Linked DNA regions of Sus scrofa. The protein of the gene in region 1 interacts with the protein of each later gene in a pairwise test. Links are inferred from orthologs where the notes say so. Each region holds a gene or a part of one and is shown on either strand. Other genes may lie near its edges.

What was found.
Region 2: the proteins of SH3GL2 (region 1) and ATXN2 interact in binary tests that used the Homo sapiens proteins (3 or more experiments, as listed by UniProt). The link is inferred for Sus scrofa from reciprocal best matches to the Homo sapiens genes SH3GL2 and ATXN2.
Region 3: the proteins of SH3GL2 (region 1) and EGFL6 interact in a two-hybrid assay, tested with the Homo sapiens proteins (2 studies listed by BioGRID and IntAct). The link is inferred for Sus scrofa from reciprocal best matches to the Homo sapiens genes SH3GL2 and EGFL6.

The regions. Positions count from the first base shown.
Region 1 is NC_010443.5:205,282,521-205,286,809, forward strand, and holds the start of SH3GL2 (endophilin-A1), read right to left. Parts: upstream 2,840-4,289; 5' UTR 2,342-2,839; coding exon 2,297-2,341; intron 1-2,296. UniProt on the Homo sapiens protein: Implicated in synaptic vesicle endocytosis. May recruit other proteins to membranes with high curvature. Required for BDNF-dependent dendrite outgrowth.
Region 2 is NC_010456.5:32,706,012-32,709,661, forward strand, and holds part of ATXN2 (ataxin-2), read right to left. Parts: intron 1,497-3,650; coding exon 1,299-1,496; intron 579-1,298; coding exon 471-578; intron 48-470; coding exon 1-47. UniProt on the Homo sapiens protein: Involved in EGFR trafficking, acting as negative regulator of endocytic EGFR internalization at the plasma membrane.
Region 3 is NC_010461.5:10,259,479-10,263,128, reverse strand, and holds part of EGFL6 (epidermal growth factor-like protein 6), read right to left. Parts: intron 2,365-3,650; coding exon 2,242-2,364; intron 1-2,241.

The DNA.
Region 1 (4,289 bases):
AATTTAGCATATCCACTCTCAAAAGGAAGTAATTCTAAGTCTAAAGTATTCTCTGCAGATAAGATCAAGTTCATGAACTGTATCAGGGGAGAGGTGGTTTAAAAAGTAGGAAATGGCTACTTTCCCTAACATCTCTGATACAGGCAAACATTAGCACTGGCTTTACACGCCCTAGAAAATGCCCACACATCCACAGGAAAAATAACATTTGCCTTGGATTTTCTAAGATTGTGCTACATTAAGTTATGGATAAGAGATGGTGCGTGAATTCACCTTTAAACATGAAAGGCCTTTCGATTTAAAAAAAAAAAAAAAAAGGAAGATGACAGTGATTCTATATCTGGATGCTGATAAATACTAATCTTATCAACAGAAGACCTCCTCTGAGGCTCTCAGACGTTCTTTCATATTACAATTCAAGTTTTTGTTCTCAACTTCAGAGCTGCATTTAACTTCAGGATTTAGCTAAAATGGAGCTGTTTTTTGTTAAGGTAGCAAAGCTAGGAATTCCAGCTTCTATATACAAACTCACCTATCCTTACATCAATCCTAAGAAAATGGCTATTACCCTCATTCTAGAAAGGACAGATTCACAAGTTAAATAACTTGCTCAAGGTCATGGACACCAGAGGTGAGTCAATCCTTAGCCTTTCCCATTCCAAAGCCAAGGTTCCTAATTGCCTTTCAGGGCACCATGCTGTGCAAAGGAAGTCTTCAGAACCAAAGTGAGAAAAGGATAAGGTGTTGGTCAATTCACTGCTGGAGGGTGCTTTATACTAGTGACGAATACCAGAAATAAAAAAGGCTAGTAACATCAAAGAAGCCCTGCCTGAAATTTTACAGGTCGCATATACGCTGGCTGCTTCTGTAAACTTGAAGGAATCTGAAGTATAAAGTTATTAGAGGCCTTCCAAATTACACCAAAATCGCCCTTATATTTACAAATATTTCTGGTAGAGAGGTCTCAGATCCAACGTGAAAAGCAAAAATACACTAATGAGTATTTTTACCAAAACGATCTTATTTTTCTCCATTGCCCGAGCTGACAAATATAACTGATTCTATAAAGGTAAGTCTGTGGTGATAGAGATGTCATGTGGGCACACAGTGGATGAACTTCAGGCTGCGTCTGTCATCCTAACATAACCAAAATTCTGTAAAACATAACCCTCACCTTTTCTGGAGGGGGTTTATAATAGGACTGTTACTATGGTTGTCTGGGGGGAAAAAAATCTCACTACTTCTGAGATATTATGAGAAAAACTGGCAGTAATTATGGCAAATCTACGAAAAAAAAATATTTAAGGCCAAATTATGAGAAATATTTCAAGAAATTAACTAAGTCCCTAGCTAAAAATGTCTTAAATTGGAATTGTTTCCGAATGGTAAAAAAAAAAAAAAAAAAGAAAGAAAGAAAAAAATAGTAACTATACTCATTATATAAGAAATAGGTCACATTATAAGCATTAACTTACTTTCTCTATGTAAAATTCTTCAACCGAGTCCAATGAGATTCAAATTATTAGCATCCGAATTAAATAAGTATTATTGTAATCACAGATTATTAACCCCATAAAAGTGGGCACATCTAATATGTAAAAGGCTCACTAAAAATAATACTTTGAAACACATAATGATTTGGTAATGTTAAGGTTGCAAAACCCATGGGAAATGTTTAAAAACGCGCAGGCTGCTGGTCAAGCCTTGGCCTCAAAGGAGTTTCAAGACCAACTTCTCCAAGGAAAAGTTAATGCATGAGCTTCCCAAAAGGAAGCCCCATTCCTCGGAAGCCTGCGATCGCCGCGGAAGGAGGGATTCAGACACCACGGGGGAAGAGCGCAGGCGGCAGACATCTCTGCAGCCACCCCCAGTGCGGGCCACCGCTCGTGCCTGCACATCCCGGGATAGCTAGGCGCACCGACACCGCAAGGTCACCAGGGAAGAGGCGACTTTACATAATCTACCGCCGCGCCGCCACCAGAGCGCCTGGTGTACTGAGGCCCCCTCCCTGCTGCGCCCGCGCCGGGAGATGCGGGGGCGGTGCTCGGGGCGTCTAGGCGGGACACCGAGGACCCGCGGATGCCTGCAGCGCCGCCCTGAGCCGGGGGATGGGGGACGAAGTGTGGGCTCCCAGTCCCGGGATGCCCGGGCCGCAGCGGCGGGCCGTGAGAGGCGCGGCCAGGGCGGGTTCGGCGTAGGCCGGGGTCCGCACGCTCCAGACCAGCAGCTGGTGCCCAGCGCGCCCCTCACGGCTCTTCCCGGGACCGCCCCGCGGCGCACCTGTCACGCGCCTTACCTGAGTGGCTTTGTGGAATTGCTTCTTGAGCCCGGCCACCGACATGGTTTGGGAGGACGAGCAGCCGGCTGCAGTGGGGACAGCGCGCGGCAGCAGAGCGTGGCGGGAAGGCCGAGCTGAGCGGCACGCTGGCCGGGCCGCCTCTCGTCGTGCCGCCGCTGAGGCTGTGGGCGCGGGGGCGAGGAGCAGCGCGGGACGAGGGCTCGTGCGGAGAGACACCCTGACGTCAGGGGCGGGTGCTGCGGCCTCTTAAAGGAGACGCGGGAAGCCCCGCCCCGGGCGCGGGCTTGGTGCGGCAGGTGCTGCGGCAAGCGCTACCTGGGCGCCCGCGCCAGCCCCTGGCACCTGGCTCCGCCGCACCGGCCGGCTACCTGCCCTAAGGACCAAAGCCGGTTTCCCGCCGCAGGGGTGTCCTCGCGCTCCCGCGAACTGCCCACCGGTGGCTGCAGATTGGCAGCCGAGGCACCGGCAGAACTCCGGTGACTTGTTGGGCTTCCAGGTAGCCACAAGGGCGCTGCCTGAAGCCAGCCCGCCTGCCCTTTGAGCCTGGCCTCATTGCAGCGTGGAAAAGAGGAGTGGCGTTCTCTCTAGGGTAATGAATAAGTCATTGCTCCTTGCTTGCTTGGTCACAGAAAACATTTCTCTGTCCTGGTTTTACTATCCCTTAAGCCGAGATAACGTTAGGGAAAGCCACCAATGCTGGGTTATTGTTTTGTTTTTTCTCGATCTGATACAATTTAACGACTTAAAAACATGAAAAAAAAATGCTTAAACCTTGAAGCTGGTCCAGTAAATAGAATTTATTACTGCAGTTATAGCATATAATCCTGTTTACAGATATTAAAAAGCCCAAATATGAACTTGGTATTAATTTGACAGTGGATTTAGGATTTTCAATCCAAAATAAGCATTAGATAATGTGAAAAGCATGACGCAAAACTATATAAATACTACATATGTAAAAAAGTATATGAATCTAGGCTAGAAAAAAACTGATGTAACTAGATGAATTTGTAGCAGTGCAGTGCTGGACAGCTTCTGTATTCTGGTAATTAGAGTTTACTCCCCGTTTTCTGAGACTCAGAAGCATATAGAGTAGAATTTGAATTCTGACCCCATGTTGGGACCATAAAGTATAAGGAGGAGTCACCAGAGTGACAGAAGCCAGATGAGAGACACAGCCGCGAATGAATAAGGAAACAGCATGGCAGAATGGGAGTTCTAGGAGTACCTTGCACTGCCCCCACTACTCCTGCTGCCTGGGAGGAACCACAGACCCCACACCCACCCTTCCAGCCAGGCTGCTTGGGCACAGGGTGAATATCTGATACAAGAGGATCCTGTCCATCCCACTGGCTGGTCTACCAATACTAGTCTTTCTTGATAACATGAATTGTACTCATAATGCCAGAATCAAGCAGATAGTGGTGGATCACAGAGCATTAAGAGCACAAGGACTCCTGACCCAGCCTGAAAAGGGAAGCAGACAAAAGGAGAAAATCTGCTGTGCGGTAGTTATTACAGATGTTCATGTACCTTCCAGATTCATGGTAGAATCTCACTCCCCCCACCCCAGCACTGTAATCAATTAAGTAGGCCACTGTGAGAAGTTTTAACTAGTGAGTCAGGAAGGAAACTGACTGTCACCTCTTGGCAGAGGATTTAACTGTTCATATGAGAGGCTCTCCCCTCTCAAACAGTATTTTAGGTATTTGTAGTCTGTCACCCAGAATCCACAGTGAAGACAAAGCAGGGCAAAGCCCCCAGCTGATTTCAACTTCATTCAGCATGAGTGGGAAATAAACCTGAGTAATTTCAATACCCCGAATCTAGGGTTGTTACTGTGGCAAACTAGTCTCTCCTGATTAGTGTACAAAAGAGAAAATGTTTTCCCATTCCTCAGAAGATGAAGGGAGATTTTACATTTCCTGCCATGGCCCATGTGTTTTTCATTTTTTGTCATTAGATGTCCACGAAGTGGCCTGTTTCTTTC
Region 2 (3,650 bases), on another chromosome or scaffold:
TAAATCATCAATCTGTTTTCTATGTTCAGAAACAACTGGTGATATACCTGTAAAAATATGAAGTATTAGATCTAGATTTCTTTTTCTATTTTTAATTTTTTTGGCTGTGCTCATAGCATGTGGAAGTTCCCAGGCCAGGGATCAAACTGGTGTCATAGTAGCAACCCAAGCTGCTGCAGTGACAGCACTGGATCCTCAATTCACTGTACTACAGGACAACTCCTAGATTTATTTCTAATCTTTAAGATTTTTTTTAGGATGGGATGGTGGAAATGAAAAATAACCTCTATCCAAAATAACAAAACTTTCAATATATTATAGATTTTGACATTTGTCAAATTATGCACTTAAATATCACAACACTAAGAAATTAAAGTGTTGACCAAAAAAGTAATATGTACTGGGCATCAGATTAGACATATTCCTTCCTATTTCTACAGATATACCTAAAGACTTTTTAAAGCTCTAACCTTTACTTTCAGCTTTTGGGAAGCTAGGTGATGTCTCATTGGACTTCATATTTTCTTTATTTCCTGCAGGAGAGTTCTGCCTCTGATCTTGAAGCCTGGAATCTTTAGCTAGAAAACAGTATTTTATATAAAAAGGTTAATAGAAGCTATAGAAGTAAAATTGGAAAATACTCAACCATTTGATCCTGTGTTTTTGGAAAAGAATATTTCCACTTAAACAGAGACTTTCCTACTTCGCAGACATATGAAATATATTTTTTCTTTTTTTTTGCTGCTCCTATGGTATATGGAAGTTCCTGGGCCAGGGAAGAAACCTGAGCCACATCACCGAATCCTTAAGTGCTAGGCCACCAGGAAATTCCACTAATAAATTTTACTTATATTGTTATTTACTACCCAGGAATGTAAACTCTCTTAAACTTTCAGAATAACATATATGAAATTAGCAGGTTTTATTTTTATTGTTCTTTTCAGGCTACACTTGCTACATATGGGAAGTTCCCAGGCCAGGGGTTGACTTGGAGCTGCAGCTGGCAGCCAACGCCACAGCCACAGCAACACCAGATCCTTAACCCACTGAGAAAGGCCAGAGATCGAACTTGTGTCCTCATGGATACCAGTTGTGTTCATTACTGCTGAGCCATGATGAGAACTCCTGAAATTAGCAGTATTACTTAAACAACTAACTTTATTTACATAAAATTTTTAATATGCCATCAAATACTTACCTATGGATAAAACAACATAACCATTTTTCACACAATGTTAAATGTCTAAAATTCAATTTCACCAATGACATCATGGATCTAGAAGCCCTTTCTTACATACCCTCAATGGATGGGGTAACAGCTCTGTTGGATGCAGGACTGGCAGGCGTAGGAGATGCAGCTGGTAAAGGCATAGGGACAGCATCAGTTGGAATAACACCAGCTTGGGGAGAAGCAAGAACTGGCCCACTAGGAGTATTTCCAATACTATTCTGTCTGGGAGACCTGGGTCTGTGAGTTTTAGGGGATAATCTTGGAACTACAAGAAAGAGAAAAGTTACCCATTATATCCTCAGCTAAAATGTCGCTTCATCAAAAAGGCTTTTCTGAAAGATCTAGGTAACAGTTCTATCTGACCTCCCAATTACTCATCTCATCACCTGTTTTCTTTTCCAAAGTCTCAGGAATAATGGTGACGACAAAGTATAAATATCTGAAGAATGAAAACAATTACTAATAACCATGTACAACAGTCATTTTCCCTCCTAACTAAATATATGAATTCTAAAAGGCAGTGTTTTAAATGAAGTTAAAAACTGGATTTCTAAGGAAGGACAAGTGCTACTTCTTAGGATAAAGATAACAACATTCTCTACTAAAAGGTGAGACTGTTTCTTTAAAATACATGTGTGGAGGAGGGGAAGAGAATCCCTAAGACGTAGGCTTATTTGTTTCTCCTTCAAATAATAAACACATTTTAGCAGTTTATTTACCACAGCAAAATCCACTCTTCAGTAACTAAGGAAACTGGAAACTCAAATTAGGGCAAAGGGGAAGATAATCCAAGGAAGAGTTCATATTCCACATAACTTCAAAATGAGTATCTAATAGGTTTCGTATTTTATATAAACCTATTCAGATTCAAAGATTTAGAGGAAATAGTTCAATTTGCTTCACTTTAGTGATTCTTCACCCTAAGTAACAAGGGTCATGGAAGGAAACTATTATTCAACAACTGTCACTTTTCTGATTAGTATAAAGAGCAAACCTGTAATACTGCTGGGTGTATCTATTAACAACTATGATTTTACTCTTTCACCTCTTTCTTTTTTTTTGGTGGTGGTGGTGGGGTGGCCCACAGCATATGGAAGCTCCCTGGGCAGAGATCAAACCTGTACCACAGCAATGACCCGAGCCGCTGCAGTGACAACACTGGATCCATAACCTGCTACACCACAAGGGAACTCCCTACTCTTTCACTTCTATAATCATGTTGTTACTTTCAAAATTCATTTCCATATCATCTGAATACTGTCAAATAATTACTGATACACAGAAGAAATTAAGATTTTAGAAACTATTTTTTGTCAACTGAATAATTTCCTTGTAACTGAAGACCAAATTAGAAAAATAGAAAGTTCAAAGGAATTTACCATAAAATTACACTTACATGAAAGTAAGAAATGTATATCAACTAAAGACATTTAATGGAGTTGGGTATATTTTTCTTTGTTTCAGTTTAAAGATTTTTCTTTTAAAAGTTCCATGCACTGATTAAGATAGATTATGTCACTGCATGCTCCAACTCTAGTTATCATAGAAACAAAACATTAAGTAGCAAAAGCAATCTTAACCTAATTGTAAGGTCCTATCAAAGTATACACTTTTTACATTTTTATAGCTGCTGTCAGCACATTCTTCAGGCTGGTCACAGATAAAACTTGGGCCCTTGTGTTTGTTAATCCTTAAAAAGGATATATAGGGAGTTCCCGTCATGGCACAGTAGTTAACGAATCCGACTAGGAACCATGAGGTTGCCAGTTTGGTCCCTGCCCTTGCTCAGTGGGTTAACGATCCGGTGTTGCCGTGAGCTGTGGTGTAGGTTGCAGACTCGGCTTGGATCCCGCACTTCGGCCCAGAATAGTGTCAATAGGGAGTTTCCATAGTGGCTCAGTGGTTAACAAACCAGACTAGTATCCATGAGTACATGGGTCCAATCCCTCGCCTTGCTCAGTGGGCTTGGGGATCTGACATTGCCATGAGCTGTGGCTGAGTCGAAGATGCGGCTTGCATCATGCGTTGCTATGGCTGTGGCGAAGGCCATCAGCTACAGCTCCAATTCAACCCCTAGCCTGGGAACTTCCATATGCCATGGGTTTGGCACTAAGAAGACAGAAAAAAAAAAAAAAAACCTCAATAAAAATGTTTCAAATGAATGAATGGGGGAAAAAAAAAGAAACACATAGCATTGCAAGCCTGTAAGCCCAAAATAAATGTGGAATCAATGAACCAAGTTTCTAAGAAGACAGGAAATGTGATCCCCTCCAAAAATTGTTATGCACTGTATTTGCCTCCCATTTGAGTGGCCCTTTATAAAACCATAATAAAATATATTCATATTTATGAACCCCATATGAATTTCATCACAAGACCCTAAAGTAGACTAGGCAAAAACTACTTTACTCACTGAGAA
Region 3 (3,650 bases), on another chromosome or scaffold:
CTCCTGAGCCAGAGCTGGTGACCGTTACACCACACAGCCTGAGACAAGCAAGGCTGCAAGGGACATCTGCAAACTTGGAGGCGTGAAGGAAGCCTTGACCACTGATCCTATATGGAAAGCTGATTTGTTCCAGTTCCTCCCTGAGGGTCTCTCAAGATGACAGCACCTTTCCCCCACCCCACCCATGCACAGCCCTGCACCGGCAGCCCATCTCTTTCTTAGAATCAAATTTCTGGACATATGGGCACATCTACACAGAGGGACAGAACTGCAGCATCGAGCTGCCGGAGTAGCCACTGAATCCCATCCAGCCAAAGGCAGGAATCCATACCCAAACCCTGGGGTTTCCTACTCCACTCTTAGATACCTGGGGTGCATTTTTCTTATGGCCACACCCACGGCATATGGAGGTTCCCAGGCTAGGGGTGAAAGTGGAGCTTCAGCTGCTGGCCTACACCACAGGCACGACAACACCAGATCTGAGCCACGTCTGTGACCTACACCATAGCTCATGGCAATGCCAGATCCTTAACCCACTGAGTGAGGCCAGGGCTCGAACCCGCATCCTCATGGATACTAGTCAGGTTCTTAACCCACTGAGCCACAACAGGAACTCCATCCCTAGTTGGGATCCTTCAACCTGCTGTGCCGGGCTGGGGATTGAACCCATGCCTCCACAGAGGCCTGAGCCGCTGCAGTCAGATTCCTAACTCAGTGGGTCATGGCAGGAACTCCCTGGTGTGCATTTTTAAGAGAGAACACAGCCCTACCCATTGGCGTTGGTTGGCTTTGGGAAGCCATTTTTCTTTGCCTTCCTTAAAATATTTACTAGCACAATTCGTGCTTTCCCACACTGTTTTCTTCTTCCAGGCTAAATTCTGCCCAGATCTTTGGGCAGGTCCTCATGGAATGTGATTTCCAGGCTCATTTTCTTTGCCTGTATTCTTTCAAACATCCTCTCGCCCAGCGCCATCTGCCCCAGCCCGCTGGGGGATGAGGAACCTTTGATGGGTATGATGCTCAGTGTCTGTCCTGGCGCAGACCATTCATTTTTGTCATCAGGGAGGGGCCGCTCTGCTGAGCCACCGAGAGCATCAGACAGATGGGGGCATGGGATGTGATACAGGTCAAAGGACAACCTGCAGCTGTATTTGTTGGAACTTGTGGGAACTCCGCTAAGGGTCTAGGAGAATTGGGTCAGGGCAGTCAATAAACCTTAGCACGTGATGGGCCAGTGCTAAAAGGCACATGTTCAGAGGATAACCTGGGTGACTAAAAACAGCGGGACACTACTGGCCAGGGGAGTGGCAGCACTGCAATTGCTGCTGCCTTGTCTGGGTCGACATTCCAGGCGCTCAGCATCATTTCTAGTTTGCTTCTCTTTCGGGACACATAGCGGGATTGTATGTATTTTTGTCCCTGCTTCCAAAGTGAATTAAATAAGAGCTGGGGTGTGACTGTCCATGCTTCTTTCCCTACCGTGACAAACCCTAAGGCCTCGGATTGACACCATGGTACCATAAGATGGTGGGGTCTCGGTCAGCCTGGGTCCCTGAGTGACTCCATGGGGAAGAAACGCCCTGACAACTCTCTCCGGATAGAGCATGAGAAGGAGACTGTGATTGTTGCTATAGCTGTTAAGAGCAGTGACATTTTCTTATTGTACCTTTGGTTTATCAATTTCAGAGTTTGCCACCTAAGCATGAAGGAATTCACCAGCCAGAATACCAGGACTCTTTGCTATATACCAAAAAAAGTGAAAAGAGGCTTGAGGATGATGATAAAATGACATCAGTGCCATCATACTTTGAGTCAGTTGTGCATTCTGGAAAAAATCCTGATGCACAGAAAAACCTCCTGTGATTCTAAGCCACTGACATTTCAGGACTGCTTGTTACTGCACCGTAACCTAGCCTACCCTGACCAATACACCTGCTCAGTGTCATTTGTGCTCCAATCTTATTTTCAGTATTTGAAAGTATGTTGCGACCAGAAAAATCTCCAGCACCCTGGTTTACTTTAAGTGTCATACTTACAACGTGCGTGAGAATTGGAGATGTGGTCTGGTTAGCTGAGAAGACAAGTCTGAGGCAGAGTTAAGTTTCTAAACACTGTACGTGTGCACCTCCCCACCCCCATGACGCCAGACACACAGAGTGGGAGGGAGAAAGAAGGGAGGAAGGAGACGTGGAGAGAAGGCTTTATGGGAATAGCTCAGACACCACGGCCAAGTGTACTTACCAGAACACTGAAGTCCACTGCCTTTATATCCCTGCTTGCACTTACACTTGAAGGATCCTAGGATATTGAGGCAAGTGGCATGGAGGCTGCACGTGTGGGTATTCGCAGCGCATTCATTGACATCTAAAAATGTGAACAGTCCCGTGAACACAGTGCCTTGTGGTAAGAGCACTTGCTGAAAGACTACCCCTTGAACTTGAGCAGCCCAGGGCCAACCACTCCACATGGCCAGCAAACCCTGTGTGGCCTGGGAACTGAGAGGCACTGAAGACTCCCGGTGCCTTGGCCCAGAGTCCTGGCTTTGCCTGCCACCCAGGATGTAGGGGCCAGGTACCTCTTGCCTCCCCCACAGCGACCTCATCTCCTGCTTATCAATATGACTGACCTCTCATAAGATGTTCAGCTTTTATGTCTTAAACGTTTTCACTGGTCTAACTAAGAACTCAATAATAATATCAGAAATTAAACTCTATGCATGGAAGGGCTGGGAACTCCTAAGCAATAAGGAACAAGATGGGCTTGGAACCACTGACGTCAGCTGAAAAAGTGGAGCATTTTTTTCCTAGACTGCCAGGAGCAGGGTCAGGCTGGTCTGAGCTCGCCTGCTGGCTTTACACTAGGGAAGTTTGCCAGATTCCACCCAGACAAGAGCTTTCCTGGCCTTCATTGGCACCCCACTTTCTGTCTATACTTATCACAGGCACACAAAGCAGACTATTATTTTTTTATAGATGATTTACAATGTTCTGCCAATTTCTGCTGTACAGCAAAGTGACCCAGCTATACATATATACACATTCTTTTTCTCACATTATCCTGCATCATGTTCCAAGTGACTGGATATAGTTCCCTGTACTATACATTGCTTATCCATTCCAAATGCAATAGTTTGCATCTACTAACCCCAGACTCCTAGGCCCTCCCCAACCCCACCGCCCCCACCTGCAAATGCAAGTCTGTCTTCCACGTCCGTGATCTGTTTCTGTATTGTTTTTGACTGAGCCACAGGGGGACTCAAGTGCTCATCTTAATCACTTTGCAAATTGCCAAGATTTGTTTCCTCTGGAAGCTCTCCACATGGATTCTCACCCTGTCCTGTGGGTCCCTCCCTTTAGGTGTCGGGAAACGGGCTCCTACTCAGTGACATGGCCTGGCTGGGTGACAGAGCTGGAGGGGTCTGCAGCAGCGCCTACGCTCCCAGCTCACGAGAAATGTGGATTTTATGAGCTGGTCTCAGATGGCCTTTGTGTTTGAGGGAAGATGTAAGATGGTTCAAAACCCAGGAACCAAGTGCTGTCCCAGCATGATTACATAGGACACATCCTGGGCAGCTCTAGTGGAGGGTTGAGAGAAATCCTGCCTTTTCCCCACTGTTAGCTTTCCACGTCATGCACACATGTTTGTCGCAT